Linked DNA regions of Oryzias latipes. The protein of the gene in region 1 binds, or shares a complex with, the protein of each later gene. Links are inferred from orthologs where the notes say so. Each region holds a gene or a part of one and is shown on either strand. Other genes may lie near its edges.

Region 1 (5,526 bases):
GCAGAAGGTCGATCAGTGCGGCTGCAGAGCCTCAGTCGAAGCCCCAGGCTCCCAGCCTCACCAGGGGACCAGAGCAGGACTCCGCTTTGCAGGAATTCAGCGAGACGGGCCTGTTTTCTGGGAAGTCTTTTCTTTTCGTGGGCTTTGGTGTTGAGGCGGAGGCACAGCTCTCCACGCTGGTGATTGAACATGGAGGAAAGGTGCTGGCTGGCCGCTGTCGCGCGGTGGCAGACTATGCCGTGGTTCCTCTGCTGGGATGCTCGGTCGAGGCCACAGTTGACGAGGTGGTCACGGATACGTGGCTGGTAAGAACAAAACCCATCATTTTTGCCCGGATTTTCTGCAAATCCCGGCTTTCTCATATTTGTCTTTTCTTTGGCGTTTCCCTGCCAGGCCATGTGTGTGGAGAAGGAGTGTGTTCTCCTGCTGTCGTCCAACCCGCTGTTCACTCCTGTGGCTGTGAGGGAGGGCTGCTTCCCTCTGGAGGGCTGCGTTCTCTCAGTCAGCCAGTTCATCGGAGCAGAGAGGGAGTCTTTGATCCAGCTGGCCAAGCATGTCGGAGCCGAGTACGATGAGCTTCCGTGACCTTTTTTAGAACGGCTGCAGGGGTCTGAATATTCCATAAACTCCTGAAGACCCACTCCGATTAGTGGCATTTTTTATGATGACGGAGGACATATATAAACATAATTAAGCGTAAAGTTGCGTTTCTAATTATTTATTTGTTCTAGCCGTTGTGAATCAGGAGCAGACAAAAAATGCTGTTGCTCTGGAGAAACTATGTCATAGAAAAAGACACAGTTTTTTAAGTTTTGGCTAAAAATGGCATTATCCTAATTAAAGACCTCTGAAAACACTTTCAAAATAGATCAAAAGATGACTGGAGTGGGACTTTAGTGGTTTCTGTTCATTCTAAATATGATACCTGATTTAAGTTATCCTAATCCTCATCTTCTGCCTGCTGCAGTGTCCAGGATTACTTTGTGCGCTTTGCTATTAAGAAGAAGGGCATGGTGGCCAGCACTCATCTGGTTTTGCAGAGTCCAGACGGCACAAAGTTCCAGGCAGCAAAGAAGTGGGGCCTCCCTGCTGTGAGCATGCACTGGATTCTGGAGTCGGCTCGAACAGGACAGAAAGCAGCAGAGGAGATGTTCCTGGTTGATCTACCTCCTTCACCAGGTTAAAGTCCAGCATTTGCGCGTCTGTGGTGATTCATTGTTGGCATCATCTTTTAATGTTCTCCTCCTCTACAGAGAGGGACGATGAGAGCTTCGTCGGCGGCTCCCAGAAACCGGCTCAAGCTCGTAACTCTCCAGAAATCCCCCTGCTGGGCCCGCAGAGCGGTAAAGCTGTCACCCCTCTGGATTTAGGTCGCTTTCAAAGCAAAGTGTTTCACTCTGTTCTGGATGAGATGAAGCCCAAAGACGGCCTCAGCACTCCCAAACAAAACCCGGATGGCAGCAGAAGACACGCCCACAGGGAGGCGTCGCTGCAGCTGGACACTCCCTCCCGTTTCCTCAGCAGAGATCAGCTCTTCCGTCCGTCCTTCAACGTCAAGGTTGTGATTCACTGAAAGCAAAAGAGGGCAGACTTTTCCTTTATTGACCTGAAACCTTTGTGGGTTTTGCTCTCCAGGATGCTCTTGGAGCTTTGGAGACTCCAGGGGGAAGGTTGAAGCCAGGCGAGAAGGTGGAGACTCCACTTACTGATGTCATCAACAGGAATCTGAAAGTAGCTTTAGCCAATAGCTCGCGGAATAATGTCTCAGAAATGCAGGCGGCTTCTGGAAGCCCTGAACTGGGAAAATCCACTGAGAAGGAGGTAAAAATGAAAGAACTACACAACATCTCCTGTCTGCAGTTTTCACAAGTTTGTGGTTTAGTTCCTTATGTGTTTAAAGACTCACTTCAGTCATCCTTTGGTCCAGTTTTAAAGTCTTCTAGTGGTCTTTTAATTAGGACTATGATGAAGTAGTTTCTGCAGAACAGCAGTTGTTATCGGGACCGTCGGCACGGAGCAACCCCGCCCCCTCTCCCTGTCACCACTCTGTTTTAGGGATCTCCAGCTAGCTTACAGCCCCTCCCACCCCCGACCTAACATTAGCAGTGCGGCAATATTGGAGCCGTACAGTTTTGATGCAGATTCCAGCTCAGACGAGGAAAACAAAGACGTGCATGAATCTGTTTGCATCAGAATGGAGCGGAGCAGGGAGCTCCTGATCAGAACAAAGAAAAGACTCAGAAATGCAACTTCCAGTTTAGATTGTTATTTATATATGTTCTCCGTCATCAGAAAAATGCAGGAAGAGCATTTTAAAAACACCAAAATGCTATTTTTATTGGAGTGGGTCTTTAAAATGAAACTGTGTTTGTGTTTTGCACAGAAGGACCCGCAGAAAGAAGCCGGACCGCTGGCTGGAGTTGTGGTCTGTGTGGGAAAGAAGTTGAGCAAAATGCAGACTGAACTAAACGCCGTCGCTGCCTCACTGGGAGCAGACTTCAGGTTTTCCACTCTTCCTCACTCAAATCCGTTTGTACTTCTGTGTTCTGTCACTTTGCCTCTTCTTCCGCCTTCAGCACCAGGCTTTCATGGCCGGTAAACAAAGTGTTACGCCCCTTTTAACCCTCCATACAAAATATAACAAATAACTAAAAGTGAATCAAAAAGGCTTCAGGGAAGGCCGGTTGCAAAACAGCACCAATTGTGAAGAAATATTTTACATTGAATGAAAATGATGTCTCTTCTTCTCTTTTGCAGGTGGGCTTATGACGACACGGTGACACACTACATCTACCAGGGCCGGGTTGGGGACAACAGCCGTGAATACAAAGGAGTGAAGGAGAGGGGGGTGCATGTGGTCTCCCAGTACTGGCTGCAGGCCGTATGTTTCCCTCTAACTTTGATTTTAGCTTCATTTATGACAAAGTTGGGTTTTAGTCCCAAATGTGTTAGTTTTCTTTTTTAAATTTCATATAATGTTTTTACGTAAATACTTTTAAAATGAAATGTCGAGTTAATTTGGCCAAAAATGATATTAAATTGTAATGGTTGAACGACACTGAGAGGCTGGTCGTGTCCACAGTTTTTGTCTGAAACAAACCTCCTCTGGTTTAGTGCGCTGATGAGCAGAAACGGGTTCCAGAGTCCCTGTTTCCTTTCACCTACAACCCTAAGATGAGCCTCAACCTGAGCCAGGTGCCCAGCAGCTCCCAGAGATCTCCACCTTTGACACGGACACAGCGGAGAGACGCCGCTGCAGCCAAGGTGGGTGGAAACATGGCCGTCATTTATCACAAAGCCCTGGTTTTTAGAGCTTCTCATGTCGTCTTAAATGAGTTTTCTTTGTTGTTTAGCTCAGTTTTTCCGAAGAAGAAGCTCCAGCTCTGCGCCGTGCGAGTGATGGAAGCGCGGACCAGGAAGATCTTGATCACACAGAGAGAACAGGTGGGTTTTTTTTTCCTCCACAAGCCAGTCCTGGTTGGTAAGCGAAGAAAGAACATCGAAACTGACGTGGGTTTGATGATTAGATACTCTGGAAATGAGGGAGAACCTGCAGAAACAGCTGCAGGAGATCATGTCAGCCACCAAACTGACGACCGGCAGACGCACTTCAGTCAGGCTGGCAAAGATGGGGTCCGGTGGGGCCGACTCAGGCCCTCATACACCTGAAGGGAGCCGAATGGGACGGAGTGGAAGCAGAAGAACCCTGGAAGCTTTGAGGTAAACAAACAAAAGACCCTTCCCAGCTGGGATCAGGAGGAATTTGATGGTAAAAAGGTTGTTGGATGATTCCTCAAACGTCTGTGTCCCCAGAGTTTCCAGAGAAGCAGCGCTGGATGTGAACACGGAGCCCTCGCAGAGCGAACAGATCGTCTGGGACGACCCGACGGCAAGAGAGGAGAGGGCCAAGCTGGCCGATAACCTGCAGTGGCCCGGCAGCCCCTCGCAGCACTCAGACCCCATCGTGGCCGCTCCACCCCCCACAGCAGAACCAGCACCACAGATGAAGGACTCCATGACCGACTCCGAGCTGGTGGAGATGGGTTTGTGTCGTTTTCAAAACCTCTCAGCAAAAATGAGCGTCTGTGACCTCATTAAAGTCCCACTCCGATCATCTTTTGATCTATTTTCAAAGCGTTCCCGGTTAATTATAATTATGCCGTTTGTAGCCAATATCTAGGATATATTTTCTGCAGAGCTGCAACGGTTCATCAGAAATTCACCTCTGAGTTATTAGGCGGGACTGTTGGCGGGGAGCGACTCCGCCCCCTTTTCATCTGTTTACAATCTCACCTGCTAGCTTACAGCCACAACCAAACATTATCAGTGCAACACAAATATCCGAGCTATCCGGTCGTACAGTTCAGATCCTGATTCCAGCGTTTTTTTTCTTACCGTCACTAATACAATCTTTCTCAAACTGAATTTTTTCATCTGCTCCTGATTCACAACAATTTCAATTGAATTCTCAAATATGCATTTTTAAGCTAAATTTTCTCAACATATGTTCTTCTTCGTAAGAAAAATGCCCCAAGATGTTAAAAAGCGCATTTTTCATCGAAGTGGATCTTTAAGAATAAAATTTAGAATAAAAAGCAAAGAAAATTCTGTTAGTTAAAACCTTAAATCAAATACGTTTTAACTTCAACCTAATTTTTTGTGTCTTACTTAAAATGAAAAAATTATACAACAATATTATAAGTTTAAAAACACTTTTTAACACACCAATCCCCATAAAGCAGCTTTATTGTTTTGTAGAAGCTGTTTTCTGAACGTCTTTTCCTATAGTACATGACTGATAGTATATTGATGTATATGAAGTATTCTGTTGAAGCAGAGGTAGTAGGTTTATGGGAGGAAGTCGGATTTACTGGGATGACTCTGTAGATGGTTTGAAACTTCATGGCTGAAGTGCGTTTCCTGGTCTCCAACAGCTGCCTGTGACGTTATTGACCAGCACCTGGGGCAGAAGCTGATAACTCCCCCATCAGAGGAGGCAGAAGATGATATTCTCACGCCCAAAGCCCCCTGCATCGCTTTTCCTCTCACCAAACCCACAGCAGCCCCCGAGCCTCTGAGAGAGGTTCGCATTTAACCAGAAGAATAGGTTTTCCTAAAATAAAGGGGACTTTTTTCTTTTTAATATAATGTTCTTCTATTTCTCCCAGGAGGAGAAAAAAGAAAAACAGCCCCCCAGGTTTCAGATGTCCTCCCTCAGCCCTCAGGAGCGCATCGATTACAGCCACGTCATCGAGGATCTGGGTGAGTCTCATCGGGATTCAGAAACGGAAACTAAGAAGCTGAGATTTACTGACGGGAGCTGTGAATATTTTCTTTTCTTGAGCGTTTTTCTTCATTCTTTTTATTTTGTCAGAAATATTTGAACGAACATCTTCTTCCACGGACTGGAAAAGAACACGAAAACCACAAACGTGTGTGTTTCTGTCTGCTGTAGGGGGTGTCGTTTTGGAAAAGCAGTCGTTTGACCCGAGCTGCTCCCACATCATCGTTGGGAGTCCTCTGCGT
Region 2 (6,136 bases), on another chromosome or scaffold:
GCTGCAGGGGTCAGATTCCCCCCCTCCTCCCCCTGCAGGGTTCCTGCTCATATGTTAATTAGCCAGCAGTGACAAGCAAGATGAGAGGAGTTAGAATGAGGCCACAAAAAGACAGTTCAGCACTGAAAGACTGCTTTTTCATTTTTTTTTTTTGTATGTCTTTCAGTGTCGTGCGGTGAGGTTGATGACTGGTGAGGCACCGATTCCTCTGGAGTCAGATTTACTAAAGAACTGAAAATTTCACCTTTCATCCAACGGCAGCTAACAGCTTATAAAACACACAAGAGCATATTTGTCCTCCAGAGAATATTTCTTTTGTAGACATGGATAGAACACTCTTCTTGTGTATAAATTATTCATATGTACTGAAAACAAATTAAAGTATACAGATGTGTTCAGCACACAAATTCTGGAGCTTTATTTAATCAGTTATCAATGTTGTCTGTGAAAATGTTCATAAAAATAAAATAAATTATCTTACTTACATTTTTTTGCACTTACTCCCAAGTTATTAAAAAAAAGAAACATTGAACATGTTTAGCCTTACTTTTTCTATCCGTGCACCGATTTTCCCTTTATTTATGAGTTTCTCCCAATGAGTTATATCGCTAGAGGAGACATCACGTGGTTCCTCATGGGAGGAGAGCACCGCCATCTTGGTGAGGACAAGTTACTACTGCAGTGCATGCATGTGAACACATTTTTTGCATAATACCAGTTAATTTTGCGGGTTTCAACTGCCAAATCAGAGCACTGAGTCCATGAAGGAGGAAGGTATATCATTTCACAGGTAAGTACTAAATTTTTTTTCTTTTAATGCTGCAGGGGCTTCATTAATCATACACATGTTGACATGCATGATGCTGCAGGGCTGTCATCAACATGCTGCATGATGTTCGTATAATTTGCTTTTGACATAAATGTACATTTTATTTAGCTAAACCTGTATACAGCATACTAGGCTATTTTAGTTATATAGATTTATACATTTCTGACTCAGTGACTGAACTTTTCTTGCAGGTTTCCAATGGATTCAGACTTAAGGAAAAAGTGGATCTTAGCAATAAAAAGAGCTAACCCAGATGGATCACTGTGGTACCAACTAGAATACAGTCTGGATATGTTAGAAACATTTGTGGAAACACATTTAGATGAGAGGCCAGACTGTTCGCTTGAAACCTGAAACCAAACCATCTGTGTTATACTCACATGAATCAATATAAATCTATTGTTTTTCTTTGTTGTTGTTGCTTTTTTAGGGTAAATCTCTTGTTCACTTTTGGACTTCTTTTGAATATTTATTTTACTATTATTATTATTATTATTATTATTATTATTAATAGACTTATTATTTATTGACTTATTATTTATTTATTTATTGTTTTTTATTGACTTACTATTGATTTGTTATTATTATAATTATTATTATTATTATTATTATTATTATTATTATTATTATTATTGACTCATTGTTGGGTTTTTCTAAATAATTTAAATTACATGTCAAAGAGGTCTAAAACTTCTAAATGTTTAGAAAGTATTTTTAAAAACTCTTTGAAATTATTTTTTTCTTCGTAAGAAGTCCTGCAACAATGCATTTTCATTAAAGTTTGAACTTTTAAGGCTGCCTGTTTCTCTTCTTTAACAACAACAAATGATGTATCTATATATATATTATATATATAAATATAATATATTTACATACATATATAAATATATATAAATGTAAAAATATATATAGTATAAAAGCTACCTAGACACCACTAAAAGCAATAGAAATCATTGTCATGTGGGCCTCGTCGACCTCACCAAGATGGCGTCACGCTCCGCCACCGTCGGCCAGGCTTCCCAAGCGGGCGTGTCTCCTCTAGTGATATAACTCATTGCCCTGAAACATACCTCCATTTCTGGAACCGAAAGCTGCGGTTATCAACTTCCTTAGCCTCAAGCTTATCGTGGGAGCTAGCATAACCTGCTTTCTGAAACAGGCCCCAGGGGCCTGTTGCACAAAAGTAAAATTAAGACATCCGGGATAAATGACTAAGCTGAGCTCAATGAATCCAAAACATGTGCGTCTAGGCTTAATCGGTTGCACAAAGACCAAGCCAGGATGAGCAGACACGGATTCATCAAGCCAGGTGTAACCAATCCTGGATAGGTGCGCGCTCACGGCTCACTCAAACAGACCCCGCCACAGATCACAGATAAACTGATTTACCATGGCAACTAGAGCCGCGTACCTTTCCCCATCGGAAGAACAAATCCTCATGGAGGCATACGAGGAGGTAAAAGATATAATTAAGAAGAAAGTCAACACCGCCACAGTGATAAAGCACACTCAAGATTTTTTTAAATTAAATTACCAGCCAATTGATTTTACGAAAATGTAACTTGTCATTTCAACCAGAAAATGTTATGTTTGTAAATCTTACGTGAATGAATCATGTCGATCGTACATAAAAATAATCCATTTAAAAGTTACTAATTTCAATCATGTTGATCCAATATGATACCGTTGAATTGGATACATTAGTAATCGCAAGGAATTGTGGGATTCCATTTTCTTTGTCTATCTGGGCAGATTGGGGTCTAAGTGTGAGTTTTTGTCCATGGGTTTTATTGTCTAGCTGTTTTACTCTGTTTTAACTAGTGATTTAAACTGTTGTGTTTTTTTTTTTTTTTGCACCATGAGTTAGAGTTTGGGAGAGGATGATGACCAACCGCCTTGTGCGGTAAACTATTCATGTAACTTAAAACAGAATTTGAGCTCCTGTCTTGTGGTGTGGGACATTACTGCGCAGAAAATGTCTTTGATATGAAAATTAAAAGACCCATTGGTTGAACCTTTGGAAAACTACATCAATGTCAGATGTATAAATAAATTTAAAGCAAAAAATTAAGTTATATCAACATACATTGTGTTAGGTAGTCATACAAATTTAAGTTGAATAAACTTAATTTAATGAGGTGTGACCAATTGAAGTGATTCAATTAAGTTGGATCAACTTTTTTCTTTTGAGAGTGAGCAACAATATTAATTTAAAGTTGGGTCCAACTGCAGTATTTAGATTGAATCAACTTAAATTTATTAGTTTGAACCTAAGTACATTAAGTAGGACCAATATGATTCATTTTTGTTCAAGTAACGCTATCTATTCATGTGGAAATCATTTCCATAATTTTTTTATGTTCATTCAAAGTGAACGTTTTTGAGTGTAGTTTACCTGCTTTTTTTATCCTTATTCAATAAAGGAACATAATGTTACTCATTGTGTTTTCATATTTTAATGGAATGTGTATTATTTTATATGACAGAGTACTAGGGCCCACTAAGGAAAAAAGGATAAAGTCATAAATTTATGAGGCTGGTTCTTTCTGCAGAAAAGCAACATATTCTTTTTACAGTTTTTTTTTTTTTTTTTTCCACTACTTTTTATTTAAAGAATTAGTCATGACAACACAGCAACTTCAATAATACCAGTTACGTTTTCCTTATAAAAAGACAAAAAGCAAAAAGGAAATAAAATAATTAAAAAAAAACAAAAAACAAAACAAAACAAAAAACTAAACTGTATTGTATGACATTTCACTCAAAACAAATATCTGCACTCAAACAAATAAAAATTATAATTACATAAAACAAAACTTAACAACGAACATTGCTTCTCTTACATGATACCATCACAGCTCTCCTTTTCAAAAGCTTTTAAACTGAGGTTGCAAAATTCCGTGCGGTTGAGATCAAAAATCTGTTGAATCATCTATTAGTTCTAATTTTTGAATATAATTAATAAAGGGTCCCCAAATTTCCTCAAATAGGTGTTGTTTGCTTTTATGAATATACATTATTCTTTCCAAAGGAAGGCAATACAACATTTGTTTTAGCCACTGATTTATGCTAGGTCTGCTCATGTTTTTCCAAGCCTGTGCAATACACCTTTTAGCCGTTAAGAAACTGATATCAATAAATGTACTCTCTGTATTACTAAAATTATGTTTCACTGGATATATAGTCAAAAGAAATAGGGCTCAATGTAAGTTGTTTTGAGATTATTTTTTCTATTGTAATTTTAACTTCTTCCAAAAAGATTTGTATTTGGTGACATTCCCACATGCAATGCTTCAATGTGCCTTTAAATCCACATTTTGCACAAACATCTGGTATGTTCTTATTATATTTATTTAGTTGCACTGGTGTCGTATATAAACGCATTAACCATTTAAATTGTAGTATTCTCAGTCGACTGTTAATAGACATAGAATGAATCTTACAACATGCCCTTGTCCAATCATTTTCATTAATATTGAGTGATAAGTCATCATTCCATGATTTTAATTTACCATTTGAGTTCTCTGATGTATTAGATGTCAATAAGTTATAGAGGTCCGAAATTATGCCTTTTCTTAATTTGTTTTTCATCATCTGGGTTTCCAGCTGTGAAAGAGGAATTTTGTTAAGACTCTTTTGGTTTGCATTCACAAAGCTTCTTAACTGAAGATATTTAAAGTAGTGTTTTTTATCCAGGTCGTACATAGATTTTAGCTCCTCAAAGGACATAAAGGTATCAGACTGTGAGGGGTACAAATCTCTAATTGTTCTAAGTCCTTTGGATGCCCACGTTTTAAACGTTGTATCCATTCTTCCTGGTACAAAACACTTGTGACCCCAGATTGGGCTGAATTGTGATAAAGAATTTACTTCTTTTAAATAGTTTTTGACCTCAAACCAGACCTTTATCATGTGTTTCAAGAAAGGATTTTTGATTTGTCTTTGTAACTTTCTTATTTTATCGTAGTATAAGAACGACGGTAAAGGTATTTTTAAATTGTGGGACTCCATTTCCACCCAATGTGGATTATTCTCATTAGAGAAGTAAAACATAATGGAGCGCAGATGTGTAGCCCAGAAGTAATGCTTAAAATTAGGGCATTTTAGCCCCCCTCCATCAAATGGTAAGTATAGTAAAGTAAGACGGAGTTTAGGTTTTCTGTTGTTCCATATAAAGGCTACTGTGATTTTCTTTAACCAAGCAAATAATTCTAGAGGGGGTGCCAGAGGGACATTTTGGAACAAGTATAGCAGTTTTGGCAATACGTTCATTTTTAGGATATTTATTCTTCCCATTATAGTTATGGGCAGCTTCATCCATCTGTCTATTGAATCTTTGATTTTTTCTTTTAAGTAATCATAGTTACGTTGGACAACTTGATCCAGCTTTGGTACAATTACCACTCCTAAGTATTCAAAATGTTCAACTACTTTAAAGTGAGATGTTTTGGAAGTGGGGTTTTGCCTTTCCATAGAATTTAGCATTAAAATTGAGGATTTTGCATTATTCACTTTATATCCTGAAATACTTCCAAATATTTGAATCACTTCCAGCACTGCTGGGATTGATGAAGTAAGGTTACTCAAATATAAAATGACATCGTCTGCAAACAAAGAAATTTTGTGTTCAGTGGGTCCTATTGTGATTCCAGTTATCTGTGTATGTGCACGAATCGCTGCTGCAAATGGTTCTATTGCTAAAGTAAAAAGCAAAGGAGAGAGAGGACATCCTTGCCGACATCCTCTCTTAATTTTAATTGGCTTAGAGAAATTTCTATTTGTTAAAACTTCCGCTGTCGGGTCTTTATACAAAATCTTGATCCATTTTATAAAGTTGGATTCGCATCCAAATCTTTCCAAGATACTGAAAAGATAGGGCCACTCAACCCAATCAAATGCTTTTTCTGCATCTAATGACAGGAGAGCAGTATCTCTGTTTTCTTTTTTATGATAAATGATATTTAAAACTCTTCTCACATTATGAGATCCTAGTCTTCCAGCAACAAAGCCATTCTTTTTACAGTTTTGATAGTTATGAAAATGTGATACTTCGTATTCTGGCACATCAGCATGTCTTCGTTTATGAAACCATACTGAAGGACAATTTCACGAAATGCCCCACATCTGTCATTTTAACAACTGTCCTTCTTTAAAACAACTGGTTACAATATTATGACTTGTCTTTTTTCCCTCTGTGGCCCTAATATTCTATCATTTTACATATAGCCTTATAGTCTATGGGAAACTGTAAATTATCTAATGATAGCAACATCATCTAAAACTCATTATTTATCCAAAATGATTGAA
Region 3 (6,252 bases), on another chromosome or scaffold:
CATTTTAAAAAAAGTATGACTGAACCGTACTCTTTTACACGTTGCGTGTTTCCTTTCTGTCTGAGCTCAGCAAAACACGTAAATTAAGAAAAAGTTTAAGCCAAGTTATTACTGACCGAGTAGACCATCCCTGTTGCCTTTTCAGTTGACAGCATTGTTTGCAAGTGTGAGTGTAGAAGAGTTTTATGTGGTAGTCTCATGGTGTATATAATCTTGAATTGAAAAATGGTTTCTTTTCTTCAAAGCAGCCTCTCAGATGTCACTGTATACTGACGGAAATGTTTACTCTTGCTATGCTCTCAACATGCTACTTTAAGAGACAAACATGGGGATTTTATATCTTACTGTTTGTAAGTTTGATGTTTAGCACTGCTGTGAGATCCTCACATGCCTAGCTAGAAGCTTTTTTTTTGGCATTCCTTCTTTTCCTGTGAAATGTGTAGTTTTTGACCATCAGCCTTTTACTGCGTGTGAGCCATATCCGTGCTGGAAACACACATCTAAAATTTTTTAGTCTTTAGTTCTTAACAAATTTGTAGACAAACAACAGAAGTTCAAATTTCAGCAACAGATTTGAGTAAAATTCAGTTCTTGGCTTATAAGCTAATTTAGCCATATATTTGCTTGACCATTGATGGTCAAGCTATTTGTTATAATAGCTTACAGTCAAAAGGAGCATTTCTGTTTGATTAGTTGTAAAAGCATTTATTGCAAAACAGAAAACATGAGACGAAAAACATAAACTAATGTTTCTTTTCAATTGGAAAATTTGCATGATTTAAGAATAAAATTCTTCAATATTCTGTACTTTCTTTTCCTGAGAAATTTCACTGATTACAAGTGAAGGTGAAGCACCATCCTGTCATGTCTGACACTGACTTTTATCCAATAAGCTACACTGTAACTGTCAGACTTATGAAGCTGACTTTGTCATTAAAGTGTTACCAAAATGTTATCTAAAAGATGACACTTATTTTTGTATTTTGGAATGAAGTTGTACAGATTGTAAAATTCTGTTCCCATCACTTTATTTCAAAGGTTATTTAAATTAGACAACACTGGTCTTCATCTGTGTTTACATAGGACTCCCTGTCTTGATATACCTCCAAAAGATTGGCAGAAAAGGTTTTTATAGTTCTTTTCTGATAATTAGTCCCCATTTTTTTTACAGTGATGCTATTTCAAAATTATATAAGAGAATGTCACCAGCATTCCTGCTGCACTACTCGGCAAACACTATACTGAAATGAAAACAATAGTAATCTGGGGAGTCCTACAATGGCATTGCACATTGTAAACCATTTATATTTGAGAATGAAAAGAAGAGAAGAGATTAAAGTATGTTGCTGATGATTTAGCCTATGTAAATTGTAACTTTTTTTTGTAACTAACCAAAATAAATGCTTTGGCAATGGGGTGTGTGTGCTGTTGGCTTTTTGTCAGATATGGAGGGTGGAAAAGCTTGTGAGAAATACCTGTGTTTTTTTGGAAGTTCATGGTCTCTAATGGCCTTAAAACTCAACTCCATACTCTGATAGTAAACATACATCATTACGCAGACAGTAGTGTAATCAGTTTGACACAAACAGTCCGACCTGCAAAATTACTTGTATTTCCAAATGGGCCTACTGTCTGAAGTACTGAACTGCATTTATTTATTTTTTGTCTTGTATAGAGATTTCCACATATAAATTCAGGGATATAAATAATAAAAAGCAAATAAATGAATTTATTGGTTTCCCTATAAACATACAGATAAATTACTTTAAAATTACTAAGTGGTGACAACAAGCACATAAGGGCAAAAAGAATGGTTTTATAACTAATAAAAATTACTTGTGAAAAAATAATTACAGTACACATTTGTTTTTATGTTGATTTTAAATTATCAAATATTTTATTTTATATATATTTGCATGTTTTTTCATGATATGTGTATATGTATAGTAATTCAACAAGTGATCAAAAATTTGTCTTTGGCCTTCTCCCTCCCCCATGTGCTCTTTCAGAATGTTAACAACTTTATTGTTCCTACAACGGATGACAGAAGCGAACAACGGTCTGACGTTATCCCCTTTGAAATGGCGTTGATGGCCTCAAAGGCGATGTTACTTTTAATCATTGCTGTCGTTTAGACTGCTTCAGCTTTCTTTCTTTTTAGCTTCAGCGTCAATATTTTGATCAGATTTTATTATGTTGGAATTTTTAAGTTTATAAACAAAAATGTGGTAAAGCAAATTATTGATATTTGGTGTTACATAATAAGGCCGCAGCTGCCCCAAGCTTGCGTAGAGATTACAACCGCCTTTCAATGCTAGGACTAGCATCAAAGCTACATATCGGTGAGTTTCTAGTGGTTAACTTTAGTCTACACTTCTTTAGTAACTGTAAAGGAGCTGTTTTTACTTTATCAGATTAATCTATCTCAGTTTGTAATAAAAACATTTGTTTTAAAATGTAATATTTCGGTAAGCTAGCTACATTGTTTGCTAACTTGGCTAACGTTAGCTTGCTCGCTGTTTATGTCGTTTAACGTTGCCCTACAGTGTGTTTACAAACAGCCATGTATAGATACACCTGCTAATTCGTGAACATTATTAACTCTTAAGCTGAACTCGCTATTCATATGAGTGAACTTTGCAGTTGTGTGATATAGTTACTTCGTTGTTGTGTTCTGAAATTATTTGTTGCAAATTTATTTCTTAATATTGTAGGACTTTATCAGATTAGCATTGTTTTGTTGCATTGGTTCTTTTTGTTATGAGCGAAACAAATTTTAGCCAGATTTTTATAGAACATGGATTATTCATGTACTCTTTCACGTCAAATGTCCAGCGAGTTCAAATATGTTTGTTTTTCTTCTTGCCAGGTTCTGAAGGAAAACGAGCTGACAGTGGCTATACATAAATACTTTTCAGTGCATTTGTATATTACTGTTAGATTCTCTGACTTGCCACTCTCCTGAATCAGATTTGGAAACCATTTTTTGTTTTATGTTCTTTTATATTTTATAAATTCGTCCTTAAAACATGGCATCAGTGCCAGTGTACTGCTTGTGTCGACTCCCTTATGATGTGACACGATTCATGATTGAATGCGACATTTGTCAAGACTGGTTTCATGGAAGGTGAGTTATTTTCTAGTCATTATAATTACAATGTCTTACTAAGACTGACATTTTTATTTTAAAGTAATATTTTTTTATTGCTTTATTTTCTAAAATGTAATAGGTGTTGATCTAAAATTTGTTATTCAATTACCTAGTGTGGCTAAATATCTTTTGTGGGTTTTCTGTGCAGCTGTGTTGGAGTGGAAGAGGACAAAGCAGCTGAAATTGACCTGTACCACTGCCCAAACTGTCAGGTCACACACGGGCCATCTGTCAGTAAGTGTCTTTGTTCTTTTTCTATGTGACTGAGAAGTCGTTTTCTTGCTGTTACACCACAGTAGTTTAAATTATCATAATTGTTAGACCTGCCCAATCTGTGTGTTGTCTGTTTTCTAAGTGCGCAAACGCCGTGGCGGCAATAAACAGACAGATGGAAGTGCTGCAGCATTAAGAGATCCAAGTCGGCCTGTAAAGACGGGAAGTCCACAGTTTGTCAGAGAGCTGAGGAGCCGTACATTCCCAAAGTAAGACTGTGTAAATCAGTTAAACAAATTTGCGATCCCAAATAAAAATATATATAAATGCATAAATAAAATGAACACTGGATTTCTTATGTTTGGTTTGATTTTTTTTTCATTTGATTATTTTTTTTATCATTATTGATGTAATGAATTTAAGATATTTTTATAGTTGTACCCAAATGTTCCCTATTCATTTAACTAAAATGAATGGCAGGTAAAAGCTACTTGAAATGACTGAAAAACAACAATAAATTTCCCTCTGGATTATTAGAGCACGGTGATTCGATCTGATTGATACTTTGGCAGTTGTTGATTTAACTGGTCTTCCTACTTCATAACATTTTCCTTGTTAATGTATCTTTTTTAAATTGCAGATTTCCACTTGTTTGCTGGCACTCATTGTCTCCCTTTTTTTGTGTGATGTGGTTACAGTGCAGATGAAATCTTGCTAAAGCCATCAGGGGCACAACTGACTGTGGAATTCTTGGAAGAGCACTCATTCAGTGTCCCTGTCATGGTCTTGAGGCGCGATGGGTTAGGCATGACCCTTCCTCCAGCTTCGTTTAGCGTTTCTGATATAGAGCACCACATTGGTAATTTTTTTAACATTTATGTACCAGATTCAAATTAATGGCTTGATATTGTTACATTTTTCTTTGTGGCGTGGGTGTTGATATTAAATCCTCTTCATATTTTTCTAAATCCTCTTCCATTGCAGGTCCAGATAAAGAAATTGATGTGATTGATGTGTGTCGGCAATGTGATCTGAAGATGAGACTAGGAGACTTTGTTGAATATTACAACAGCCCTAACAGAGACAGGGTACTCAACGTCATTAGTCTGGAGTTTTCTGAGACTAGGTGCACATTTTTGACTTTACTTATCTGATATCTTGAGAAGCACAATGAACATTTAAATGAACTGGATTACAATTTCAGTGTGGAAGCTGAGCTGTTGAAAACTTAAGCTATGCATTTACTTTTTAGGCTCTCTAACCTGGTAGAAACTCCCAAAATAGTGAGGAAACTGTCATGGGTGGAAAACCTCTGGCCTGAAGAGTCTGTTTTTGAGCGCCCTAATGTCCAGAAGTACTGTTTGATGGGAGTAAAAGACAGCTACACAGACTTTCACATTGATTTTGGAGGCACCTCAGTATGGTACCATGTCTTGAGGGTAAGAGAAATATGTTTAGATTATATCTTTTAGTTTTAATCCTTTATTGTTTTGTTTTTTTACTTAAAGCTTTTCCTTTGTGTTCACTCAGGGGGAGAAAATCTTCTACCTGATTTCTCCAACTCCAGCCAACCTGGCCCTATTTGAACAGTGGAACTCCTCTTCTAACCAGAATGAGATGTTTTTTGGAGACCAGGTTGATATGTGCTACAAGTGTTCCGTGAAACAGGGAAACACACTGTTCATACCAACTGGTAAGCAGCACATGCTTGTTTTGACAACTATTTGCAATTAAACATCCTTTAAAGTCTACCAACTAGATTACCGGTATATGGATTAGATCTGTGTTAAATCTTGAAATAAGACTAACAGAAGTTGACAGGATTTTTATAAATAGAATAGATATAGAATAACAGAATGATGTAAATTTCTTCCTGTTTGATAAATAAAACATGCACACATTTCTAAATTAGGCTTTGTTTTTCTATGTATAGGGGGAAGTAGTTGTCAGTCACAAAATCTGCAAATTGTCTCACTTTGAAAAAATAGATATATAATGTTCATCCACGTTACACTTCAACTGTGTGAGACAGAATGTAAAATCAAACTCCAGGTAATCCCATTGTATGATAATTCAAGAATTGATTAACTTTACAGAATCTTTTAAAGTGAGACATCCTGCAGAACCAGAGACAGTGAAATACTTTTTTTTGCCCCTGTGTGCTTGGTTAAAGTACATAGTATATTAGTTTGCACTTCACTCAAAATCAATGTTTTGAGGCAGCACAGTTTTAAGGTTTACCAAAAATAAGATACGAATAAAATACAAAGAGAATTCGCTCAGCACTCACAGGTTGCTGCCGTTATGACTGCTAGAAGGGAGGAAGAGAGAAGCGGACAGAGCATCAACTTAAATAGACTTGACGCACTGAGACCAGAAGACATACAAATGCCTCTGATGCTGATATGAATAGGTAAAGCAGTCTGCAGGCAACTGTACGAAAGGGGAGATGCAGATAAAAGTAGTTTGGATTTTTTGTTTTGTTGGATATTGGAATCTGTGCAAATGCTATCATTCATCATCTGAGCTCTTTTTGCCAAGTAGTCACAATAAGAAAACATCTTTACAAAAAATATAAATATGATTATTTTTTTTATGCAGTGCTGTATGACCTAATATATATGTTTCTCTTCAGGATGGATTCATGCAGTGTTGACTCCAGTTGATTGCCTGGCTTTTGGAGGAAACTTCTTGCATAGTCTCAACATTGATATGCAGATCAGGTTAGTTTCTTCAGAAGATCTTGCACTATGTATTAGAATTTGAATTGACAAAAAAGTATACGATTTATCCAACCATATTTTCTAATGCTTTAAGCTTTTTGTTGTGTATTTTGCTATTACTGAGCCTTCATTTATCGATAACAAGATACATATTAATGGTTAATT

The links. Proteins that work in one complex are often made in the same cells at the same time.
Region 2: the proteins of topbp1 (region 1) and brip1 are in contact, whole or in part, in a crystal structure (PDB 3AL3), measured with the Homo sapiens proteins. The link is inferred for Oryzias latipes from reciprocal best matches to the Homo sapiens genes TOPBP1 and BRIP1. Residues at the interface, in NP_008958.2 of Homo sapiens: Leu1272, Ser1273, Ser1274, Leu1275, Asn1276, Pro1277, Arg1280, Gln1298, His1311, Leu1313, Arg1314, Asn1315, Glu1316, Lys1317, Leu1319, Gln1366, Arg1407, Gly1410, Phe1411, Leu1414, Thr1466, Glu1467, Ile1469, Ala1470; in NP_114432.2 of Homo sapiens: Ser1129, Tyr1131, Phe1132, Thr1133, Pro1134, Glu1135, Leu1136, Tyr1137, Asp1138.
Region 3: the proteins of topbp1 (region 1) and phf8 are in contact, whole or in part, in a crystal structure (PDB 7CMZ), measured with the Homo sapiens proteins. The link is inferred for Oryzias latipes from reciprocal best matches to the Homo sapiens genes TOPBP1 and PHF8. Residues at the interface, in NP_008958.2 of Homo sapiens: Gln1298, Cys1299, Arg1314, Asn1315, Glu1316, Leu1319, Arg1369, Ser1406, Arg1407, Gly1410, Phe1411, Arg1413, Leu1414, Arg1465, Thr1466, Glu1467, Ala1470, Asp1471, Gln1475, Asn1483, Tyr1484; in NP_001171825.1 of Homo sapiens: Gly842, Ala843, Cys844, Phe845, Asp847, Ala848, Tyr850, Ile851, Tyr852, Pro853, Ser854, Leu855, Glu856.

What each region holds. Positions count from the first base shown.
Region 1 is NC_019878.2:21,464,449-21,469,974, reverse strand, and holds part of topbp1 (DNA topoisomerase 2-binding protein 1), read left to right. Parts: coding exon 1-305; intron 306-393; coding exon 394-566; intron 567-967; coding exon 968-1,179; intron 1,180-1,253; coding exon 1,254-1,558; intron 1,559-1,635; coding exon 1,636-1,821; intron 1,822-2,383; coding exon 2,384-2,502; intron 2,503-2,757; coding exon 2,758-2,881; intron 2,882-3,114; coding exon 3,115-3,264; intron 3,265-3,353; coding exon 3,354-3,444; intron 3,445-3,527; coding exon 3,528-3,720; intron 3,721-3,813; coding exon 3,814-4,043; intron 4,044-4,934; coding exon 4,935-5,083; intron 5,084-5,168; coding exon 5,169-5,262; intron 5,263-5,455; coding exon 5,456-5,526. UniProt on the Homo sapiens protein: Scaffold protein that acts as a key protein-protein adapter in DNA replication and DNA repair. Composed of multiple BRCT domains, which specifically recognize and bind phosphorylated proteins, bringing proteins together into functional combinations.
Region 2 is NC_019871.2:30,069,339-30,075,474, reverse strand, and holds the start of brip1 (Fanconi anemia group J protein), read left to right. Parts: upstream 1-1,936; 5' UTR 1,937-2,285; intron 2,286-6,136. UniProt on the Homo sapiens protein: DNA-dependent ATPase and 5'-3' DNA helicase required for the maintenance of chromosomal stability. Acts late in the Fanconi anemia pathway, after FANCD2 ubiquitination.
Region 3 is NC_019865.2:11,810,448-11,816,699, forward strand, and holds the start of phf8 (histone lysine demethylase PHF8), read left to right. Parts: upstream 1-2,052; 5' UTR 2,053-2,342; intron 2,343-2,869; 5' UTR 2,870-3,029; coding exon 3,030-3,127; intron 3,128-3,299; coding exon 3,300-3,385; intron 3,386-3,506; coding exon 3,507-3,633; intron 3,634-4,062; coding exon 4,063-4,223; intron 4,224-4,348; coding exon 4,349-4,490; intron 4,491-4,616; coding exon 4,617-4,803; intron 4,804-4,894; coding exon 4,895-5,057; intron 5,058-5,999; coding exon 6,000-6,087; intron 6,088-6,252. UniProt on the Homo sapiens protein: Histone lysine demethylase with selectivity for the di- and monomethyl states that plays a key role cell cycle progression, rDNA transcription and brain development.